2 linked regions of the Drosophila melanogaster genome follow. The protein of the gene in region 1 interacts with the protein of each later gene in a pairwise test. Each region holds a gene or a part of one and is shown on either strand. Other genes may lie near its edges. The genes, in order: cactin and cact.

The links.
Region 2: the proteins of cactin (region 1) and cact interact in binary tests that used the Drosophila melanogaster proteins (3 or more experiments, as listed by UniProt).

Annotation. Positions count from the first base shown.
Region 1 is NC_004354.4:20,422,227-20,426,902, forward strand, and holds cactin (cactin), read left to right. Parts: upstream 1-1,842; 5' UTR 1,843-1,927; coding exon 1,928-4,090; 3' UTR 4,091-4,176; downstream 4,177-4,676. Other genes in the region: Pp4-19C (protein phosphatase 19C), read right to left, coding at 1-626; CG15456 (uncharacterized protein), read right to left, coding at 4,420-4,676. UniProt on the Drosophila melanogaster protein: Plays a role in pre-mRNA splicing by facilitating excision of a subset of introns. Plays a role during early embryonic development. Involved in the dorsal-ventral embryonic patterning.
Region 2 is NT_033779.5:16,323,004-16,328,204, reverse strand, and holds the start of cact (cactus), read left to right. Parts: upstream 1-1,997; 5' UTR 1,998-2,184; intron 2,185-2,579; exon of another isoform or gene 2,580-2,711; intron 2,712-2,784; exon of another isoform or gene 2,785-3,150; 5' UTR 3,151-3,177; coding exon 3,178-3,872; intron 3,873-4,687; coding exon 4,688-4,865; intron 4,866-5,034; coding exon 5,035-5,201. Other genes in the region: mRpL4 (mitochondrial ribosomal protein L4), read left to right, coding at 1-75; CG4278 (uncharacterized protein), read right to left, coding at 170-1,048. UniProt on the Drosophila melanogaster protein: Involved in the formation of the dorsoventral pattern. It inhibits nuclear translocation of the dorsal morphogen in the dorsal region of the embryo. Acts as a negative regulator of the NF-kappa-B (rel) signaling pathway.

The sequences.
Region 1 (4,676 bases):
GACACGCCCCAGCCAGTCTGGTCCTCCGGATCGCTCCAAAGCAGGTCGCACATGGGCCCGTCGTGCGGCACCTCCTGCTTCCGGTCGATGCTGCGAATCTGGTCGAGGTACTGGATGGACGGCGACAGCCCGCCGTGCACGCAGAATATTTTGCCGTCGATGATCGCCGAAAGGCTGAGGTAGTCAAAGATCTCCGTGCAGTACCGCCACACGGCCGTCGATCCGTACTTGCGCAGGCACTCATCGTAAAAGCCGTAGACCTGTGTGATTTGGCGCGACTCATGGTTGCCCCGGATCAGCGTGATTCGGTCCGGATAGCGCACCTTCAGCGCCAACAGCAGCAGAAACGTCTCCACACTATAGTAGCCGCGGTCCACGAAATCGCCCATAAACAGGTAGTTCTTCTCGGGCACATCGCCGCCAACCTTGAACAGCTCCTTCAGGTCGTAGAACTGACCGTGGATGTCGCCGCACACGGTCACTGGCGAGTCCACACGCTGCACGTTGCCCTCCTCCACCAGGATCTCGCGGGCTTTGGCGCACAGGGCCTTCACCTCGTTCTCCTTGATGATCTCGCAGCGCTTCAGTTGCTCGATCTGTCGGTCCAGGTCGCTGTAGTCGGACATCTTCACCCGGAGGATGGCGGCAGCCGAGGCGACGGGGAAGCGGTGAATCGGACTGCAGGCGTTGACAGGGCGGGGACAGCGTTGTTAGTCGTTCACCAAACTGGCGCGGGTGGTTTTCAGGTAGCCACAAGGTTGCATAAGAGAAATACTATAAATTTTTGGTCGCTTGAGTGATAGGATAGGGTACTACTCTAGTCGTGCACAGCAAGTCTAGCGTTTTAGAGGCCATAAAGTGCATCTGTATAGCTGCATCCCCCACATCTAAGAATCAAGACGATTCAACTATATTTACGGATTGGGCAAATAATATAAACACACACATTCGCGTTCCCAGCTATTCCACTTGTTGAGATAGTCCATGAGGCTATTTCGCAATGAAAAGCCAACCAACGAGAAAAGAGGCTATATTCTCGATATAACTTCTTTTAGCTGTTTTAGATGGCTGTGTTTTAAGTGAATGCATACACATTTCTTTCAAATACGAAACGTGTATTTGACAGTGGATAGGGTTGGATTTGTTTTAAATCCAGAATTTCTGGATTAGAGATTAGTTCAGATTTTCAGTTGCTGCTGAACTGGAAGTAAGGTAACTAATAGTCGACTAATAACCATCCTTTTGTTTGTGTTTCGGTTTTTGAGTTCGCCTGCATGCGTCTGTGTGCGTCGGCTTTGTGCGGATGCTCGCGTGTGTGTGTGCGTCTGGCTTGTCGCTGGCCTTTTTGCCGCGCGCGATTTTCACCGTCTGCCGTGTTTTTCCTGTCTTCCCCGACACTTTTCCAGAATCACTACTTACTCAGCGCAGTGGCGGGCTATCTGGACAATCCTTTTGCTGGTAGCTCGGCTCTCGTGTTGGCGATTGAATACAAAAAATGCACATAAACGTTTTTGCCAACCGGGTTTCTGCGAAGAGCTGGATTGGCTACTTGCGTTTGTATCGATATATTGAGTAATGGCACTTGCAATGACACATCGAGTCTTCAGTTTCGATAGTGGGCATTACCACGAAGACCCTAAAAAGCCTTTTACACTGCACCAAGGATTCCATCGATAAATTATTTATTTTTGTGTATTTATAATACGCTGCAGCCGAAATTTTAAAATTTAAAGTTTGTAAAAACTAACCCTTGGAAAAATAAATCGACTTATCGGCAAGAGGGAGATGTGTTAATGTTATAATGCTTATATCGATAGCACTTTTGCAATTATTAGTGGCTATCTGGGTTGGTTTTCTCCATCTGGCAACGCTAGCATTGTTTATATTTTATTTCACAAGTTTTATCCCGAAAAACTCATTAAAAAAGATGCCCAAGGAGAAATCCAAGCACCGGCATCGCAGCCGCAGTCGGGAGAGGCGGGATCATCGCAGTCCGGATCCGAGGAGCAGCAGGAACAGGGATCGGGATCGTGAACGCGAGCGGGAAAAGGATCGTGACCACAGAGATCACAGAGACAAGGAACGTGACCAGCGCAGGGAAAGGGAAAAGGACAAAAGCAGGGACAAGAAGCGGGAGCACAAAAGCCGGAGACGCCGGTCCTCTTCCTCCAGCTCATCCCCGTCGAGTTCGACGTCCAGCTCGGTGCCCGGTGCCCCTCGTTCGCCGCTGGTAAAAAGCCCGATGAAGCTTCTCCAGACGCTGGAAGCCCGTCGCCTCGTCGAGCAGAAGGATCGTCAGCGTAAAAAGGAGGAGCTGAAGGCCCATGAAACGCCCGAGGAGAAGCGCGCCCGTCGCCTGCGCGAAAAGCAGGCCAAGGAGCAGCGGCGTCGCGAACGAATGGGCTGGGACAACGAGTACCAGACGTACTCCAACGAAGACAACCCGTTCGGGGACTCCAATCTCACCTCCACCTTCCACTGGGGCAAAAAGCTGGAGGTAGAGGGACTATCAAATCTCTCCACCAAAACCGTAGAGGTACTGTCTCTGCAAAAGCAGTTGGAAAATCGCAGGGAGCTGGAGAAGGTCAAGAAACGGCGTCAGGAGAGGGAGCTGGAGCGGCAGGTGCGCGAGGATGATCTTATGATGCAGCAGCGCGCCAAGGAGGCGGTGCAGTTCCGCGAGTGGCAGCGACAGGAAGATCAGTTTCACTTAGAGCAGGCACGCTTGCGCAGTGAAATCCGGATCCGAGATGGACGTGCCAAGCCCATCGATCTTCTCGCCCAATATGTGGCCGCTGGGAATGAGCCGCTCGAAGAGTGCCTCGAGATGCAGATGCACGAGCCCTATGTGCTGCTAAACGGCCTGCCCGTGGAAGAACTGGAGGACCTGCTGGTCGACATTAAGGTATACGAAGAGCTGGAGCAGGGCAAGCACATCGATTTCTGGAACGATATGATCACCATTGTGCAGGATGAACTGCAGCGCCAACAGAAACTGGAGGCGGAGAATAGTTCGCTCAATCAACGCCGGGATGGCATCCACCAGGCGGTGGTAAAGGATGTGGCCGATATTTTTAGGGGGAAGAATGCTCAGCAGCTGGAGGAGATGCGGCACCGCATCGAGGCCAAGATCAGTGGGCGAGCGGATGGCGTCGACATTAGCTACTGGGAAAGCCTGCTCTCGCAACTCAAGGCACACATGGCCAGAGCTCGACTGCGAGATCGCCATCAAGCCTTATTGCGCGAGAAGCTGTCGCTGCTCAAGCGAGAAAACGATAATGAGACGTTGCAAGAGAAGGTGGCCCCACAAGTCAAGGAAGAGGAGATGGAAACCCAGGACGCAGAGGACCCGGAGGTTGAGGAGGGCTCACCCGAAGACGAGGAGGATCCCCTGAATGAGCTGCGTAAAACAGTGCGTCTTTACCAGGCAGGGAACTACAGCCCGCGCTATATACGCGAAGAGGACTTCACCGGCAGACGAGCGCAAAACGAAGACGTCGACGAACCGGAGGCAGAAGGACTTCTCTACGAGGAGGAGGACGACGAGCGGCGAACACAGAGACAGCGTCTGCTAATCCTTCATCCAGAACGAGTGGATAACAATCAACTGACCCCGCAGGAACTGCGAATGCGCAACGAGGCGAAGCAGGGAATGCAGGGTGACGAGGCCGAGTTCAGTGTGGAGACCACCCTGGATGCAGTGCCGCAGCTGGCCACCGATAAGTACCGACCACGAAAGCCGCGCTACTTCAATCGCGTGCACACCGGCTTCGAGTGGAACAAGTACAACCAGACGCACTACGACATGGACAATCCCCCGCCCAAGATCGTGCAGGGATACAAGTTCAACATATTCTATCCGGACCTTATGGACAAATCGCAGACGCCGCAGTACTTCCTCACTCCCTGCGCGGACAACGGGGACTTTGCGGTGCTGCGTTTCCACACAGGACCACCGTACGAGGACATCGCCTTCAAGATCGTCAACCGGGAGTGGGAGTTTAGCTACAAGCGGGGCTTCCGCTGCCAGTTCCACAACAACATCTTCCAGCTGTGGTTCCACTTCAAGCGCTATCGCTACAGGCGGTGAAGGATTGTCACCGTCTGGCCTAGATTACCCAAACCATCCTTTTGTGCAGTCCTATGTTATTTTCCAATAAAGTGTAAGCCCAGAACAACTAGCAAACTCGTTCCATTTATTGCGATTGTTTAGTTGACTCCACTTAAACTGAAAACTGTTGTTTAACCTTTACCCATTTTTCAATTCATCCATCTTGCAAATAAGGAGAGCATTATAATGTTATATTTATTATTATATATGTATATACCATATATCACAGGATTTCAAATGGGTTCCACAAATGTTGGTGTAAGCGTGAAGCTATCGTGTTTAAACAGTCTAGGCGTGAAAGTAGGAGATCACATCACGACGCAGTCCTTGATGGGCTGCTCCAGGACTTTCTCCACGGGCTCTCCACGCTCCGCCTTCTGCACTTGGGCCAGGACACTCGCGTGCTGGGGAAATGCCAGGCAGGAAAGCTTCGAGTGCACTAGCTGACCGTCGATGGACACCTCGAAGGATCCCCGCCGTCCCGTGCGACAGGATATGTCCAAGTCGGGCGACGAGGCCAGCAGGAACTCGCGCAGCAGGTGGCACTGCCCGCTAAAGTTGCAGA
Region 2 (5,201 bases), on another chromosome or scaffold:
CAGCGCCTGCTCTACCAACTTAATCGAAACGACGCCGCCAGCAAGGGCGGCAAGTTTAAGCTGGATCAAGTCTAGAAGTTAAGAAAGTTAAATCCTTTAGTTTATTTGTAACCTTTATGGATGCGCCAGAAAATGCATTGTTAAACAAAAAATGCTTATAAGATCAAAGTTATTTTGATGTGCTCTTGTAGACGTCAACAAATGCGCTTAGTTCTTTGTTTATATCGCTAGCCACGGTGACCAGAGGATCCTTGTCCACTTCAGATACAAATACCAGGCATTCTTCATTTAAAGATTTGGCCAATATAGGGCAAAACTCATGGAGAAAACCCCTTTCTGAATTACTATGATTGCAGAGAAGAACGGTGGTATTGTTGTGAGTAAACTCCAGAACTTCGTGATGGGACATTTCGCCGGTAATGATAAGATCCGCTTGGATACCCTTCAGCAGAGATGCTCCAGAGCCGGCACAAATGCCGACGGATTGGATGAGTGTCTTGGGGGTGTGGCCCACAGCTAGAGCAACGTGCACGCTGTTTCTAATGCGCTTTTGCAGAGACTCCACCACCTGGGAAAGCTCCATTTTGGTTTCTATATATCTACCGGATCCGGTACCCGGAGGAGCACCCAACTCCGGTTCCAGAGGGCGGATGCTGATGATATTCACTGCCTTAGATAGCCAGTCGTTGACGCCACCACTCTTCTTATCCCACGCCGTGTGGGGCGAGTACAAGGCTATATCGTTGGCCAAGCATGCTGCCACCACGCGCTCCTTCCAATGTGACTGCGTAATCCTGGTCAGGGGCTTGAAAATTGGCGGATGATAGCTGATTATGAGCTCCGCCTCCTTCTCTAGCGCTTCTTTCACTACGGGCTCGGTTAAATCGTTAGTTAATAGTATTTTCTTGATTTGTTTTTCGCGGTGCGGTTCGATCAGGAGTCCCACATTGTCCCACTTCTCTGCCCAAGAAGTCGGAGCAAAGTTCTCCAGCTCCTTGACCACAGCCGCCAGCTTTTGACCACTAAAAGTGTTCATCCTTCTCAGCATTCCTTGACGTCCTTTGCAAAATATTTCTGGTCCTGCGTTTAAGATTTTGTGCAATTGACTTATTGGCCGGTAAGTGCTGCCAACTTAATTTTTGTTGTTTTACCTGCTCTTAAAATCATCTGTTATCACCCGCAATTTTTAAATTGGGCGATAAAGTAATTGGTTAATATTAATAAACATTAAAAAACACTACTATAATTTTATTAGCAGGTCACATTTTTGTTGCGTAATTTTGTTAGAAAAACATTTAATGAATATTTGGATTTTATAATAACGAGAATAGCAAAACAGTTTTAATAAAACGATAAAAGTTTATGTTATAGCAAACAAATAATTAGAAATTAACAAAATATTTAAAAAGTTTATATACCTTAATAAATTTATCAGATTGGCACCAAACACTTGTTTTTAATAGAAAAACGAACGCCTGATAAATAATAATTCAAGAAATTCAATCGGAAGCCGAAGAATTTAAATTTTAAAGAATAATTTAATTAAGTCATACAAAAGCAAAAAGCAAAACCCGACAAGGAAATGACCAAACCCCTAAAACTGAAGAGTAATTTACAAATTCCCAGCAATTTAATCAAAATTTTAGGAAACAAGTCCGATTTTTTAATAACCTATTTGTTATAATAAATAACTTTACAACTACGAGAGGCGGAATTTTAAATTTTAAATTAAAAAAGCGAGCAAAAACTTTCGAAACTACTTGTGACCGTAAACACAGGTTTTATGGTAAGAATCTGATAATCTTGTAAAGCCCCTCTAAATTTCTTGGATTCAGATAATTTTTTAATCAATACAACCTTGTAAAAACCAAAATAATCGTATATATAATATTTCATGAATTGGCGATAAAATGTGATTGAGTGTTAAAAAATCCCAGAAGGAGAGTGTATGACAAATCGGTCGCTCAGAATATCCCATGAAATTCAGAATTGGTCGAGGTTTCAATCGAAGCTGACCTGTGAAAAACCGAAGAAAGAATCCTGCATTTCATTTCCGTTCTCGGTCAGCGGGTGATTTCCCAGATATTTGTCCGCCTCGCCGTCATACGCATTTCAACCGTAGGACGCCGAGCATCAACATCAAGTGGCTTCGCTCGAGGAACTAAACAATCACACAATCAGAGAGTAAGAAGTATAAATAAACGCATCGCTGCTGTGGTTGCTTTTGTTGCAGCTGACCATTTAGCTGCTCATTTTGTTGTTGGGAGATTTTAACTTGGCGCTCTCCCTACTATCTGGCAACCCTATGGTCTCCCTCGCACACATGTAAAACTGATTTAAGCCCCGATTACACACTCCATCGTCGATATATTAAGGCAAACGTTTTCACTTCGGTCTTTTCAAGTCTAGAATTTTATTTTTTTTGGGCAAATATGAAAAAATAGATTTTTTTCAATTAACAGTTTTCTAAGTAAAGAAAATTTAAAATCGAGACTCTTCATTTCGTGATAACTCTTAGTGCAAACGGGGCTTTATAGTATAGACTGCCATATAAATATATACATATCAGCGCGCTCCCTCAATTTCATTCGCTATCGAAACGTGAAAGAAAGCAGACGTGCGTCCGGGTACTATGCGAATTGCAGATTACAAACATTTAAACCATAAATACGCGTTTTAAAGACAGCTTCGCAAGACAATTAACCAGCAAGGTAGTGAGAAATCCATAGAAAATAGTGCTGGGGTTTAAACCCAGAACATGTGCAGAAAATAAAAAGCGAAAAGGAAGCTGTGTGAAAAGGGAGATAAAAAATCTACCTCAGTGTGATTGTGGGTGTGTGCGGGTGAAACAACCGTGAAGAGGCAAATAAGACATTGGCAAATGGAAAAATCTAAAATTTTCAACCAGTGTGAAACCGTAATTTTTATTTTTCTGCGGCTACACTTGTACATAAGTCCATAAATTGCCTTTAATCTACAAAAATTATTGCGTTTTCACTTGTTCGCTGGAGCCTATATGTTTGTTTCACTCGCACCACCGAGGTGAGCGCTTACTGTGCGTGTGTATGTGTGTGTGTTTGAGAGACTGGGCTCAAAAGCAAAGTTCAAAACGACAGGAGTATATATATAACATATATACATATATTTTAGCCCAACTGAGAGAGGAAAAGCACGAAAATGCCGAGCCCAACAAAAGCAGCGGAGGCAGCAACAAAGGCAACAGCAACAAGTGACTGCAGCTGCAGCGCTGCCAGTGTTGAGCAGCGCGCCCCCTCAAACGCGGCTAACCCCTCGTCCTCACTAGCCACTAGCGGTAAAATTGGCGGCAAAACACAAGATCAAACGGCCGCCATTAACAAGCAAAAGGAATTTGCCGTGCCAAACGAAACCAGTGATTCGGGCTTCATCTCCGGCCCGCAATCCTCGCAGATCTTCAGCGAGGAGATAGTCCCCGATAGCGAGGAACAGGATAAGGATCAGCAGGAGTCGGCACCCCAAAAGGAACAGCCCGTTGTCCTCGATTCCGGTATTATCGACGAAGAAGAGGATCAGGAGGAGCAGGAGAAAGAGGAGGAGCACCAGGACACCACCACTGCCACCGCCGATTCAATGCGACTCAAACACAGCGCGGACACAGGCATCCCACAATGGACCGTCGAAAGCCATTTGGTCAGTCGCGGCGAACAGCTTAACAATCTCGGCCAGAGCAGCAGCACCCAAATCACCGGTCGCAGCAAGGTTCAATCCTCCACAGCCAGCACGGCGAACGCGAATCCTTCGGGATCGGGAGCAACATCATCCGCTCCGCCCAGCAGCATTAATATCATGAACGCCTGGGAGCAGTTCTATCAACAAAACGACGACGGCGACACGTAAGTAAACATTATAGAATCTCAGGAAATGTCACTTTATTCTAGACTTTCAAATTATTTATATATGTGCAAACCACATTTATAGATAACTTCGAATGTGTATTTTTAATGTGGGGAAATTCCCAAGTATGATTTAAACATTTTAGCGCCTTATCTCTAGGTCACTTTAAAAACTTTCCCATGCTTATTCTTAGACTAGCAATCATAAGAACTTTATATTTTAAATATTTTATACAATTGGACGGTATTTTTTGAAATTGGAAACGATTGATTATATTTAGACTGTCACAATCGCCAAAAAAAAATCTTTATTAGAATTTAGGTCTTCATGCTCTTAAAAATCAATTTAACATACTCATTGACAATTCACGATTAAAGATTTATAAGCACAGTCTTTGAATCATTTCCGAATTTCTATGAACTTATACGTGCCGTATTTCCGATGAGAATCCTAAAATTTCCCAAAATAACAAAGACAACGCCGCGTTGCACTGATGACCACCAAGCGAGCTAAGGGGAGAGTTTCGTGAATCACTCAAAGACGATTGTCTGAGGCGAGAAACGCGACTGACACATGTGTTTTAGTCAGGCTTTGGGGTTTTCCTGGTATGTGGGCAGGTACGGGAACAGGTTTTTCGGGGCACCTCTTCTTTCTTCACATTACTTTACCTCTACTTAACTTACTTGGGTTTTTACGCCGCCACATGAACGGCGACAAGTGTACAGGAAGGAAAGAAAGTGCGGGTGTTCGATCGCCAGGTAAAAGAAACCCACAAATTCATGTTGTTTTTTTTGCTCTCTCTCTCTCATTTCAGACCTTTGCACCTGGCCTGTATTTCGGGATCAGTGGACGTGGTGGCCGCCCTGATTCGCATGGCTCCTCATCCGTGCCTGCTCAACATCCAGAACGATGTGGCCCAGACACCCCTTCATCTGGCCGCTCTTACTGCCCAGCCGAACATCATGAGGATACTTTTACTCGCCGGAGCTGAGGTAATATTCAACAAAGATCGAATAAGAAGATTTAGATATTTGCATATTTGTAAAATCTAGCTTAATCCCCTATTGACGAATGTAATGTCATATCATCTTGATTTTCTAACAAAAGCTAATTTAAGTATTTATATTTGTAACAAAAGATTCCCATTACTCATTTGAATAGCCCACGGTGCGCGATCGTCATGGAAACACAGCTCTGCATCTTTCCTGCATCGCCGGAGAGAAACAGTGCGTCCGTGCCTTGACAGAGAAGTTCGGCGCCACGGAAATCCATGAGGCCCACCGACAATATGGACACCGATCCAACGACAAAGCGGTCAGTTCCCTGAG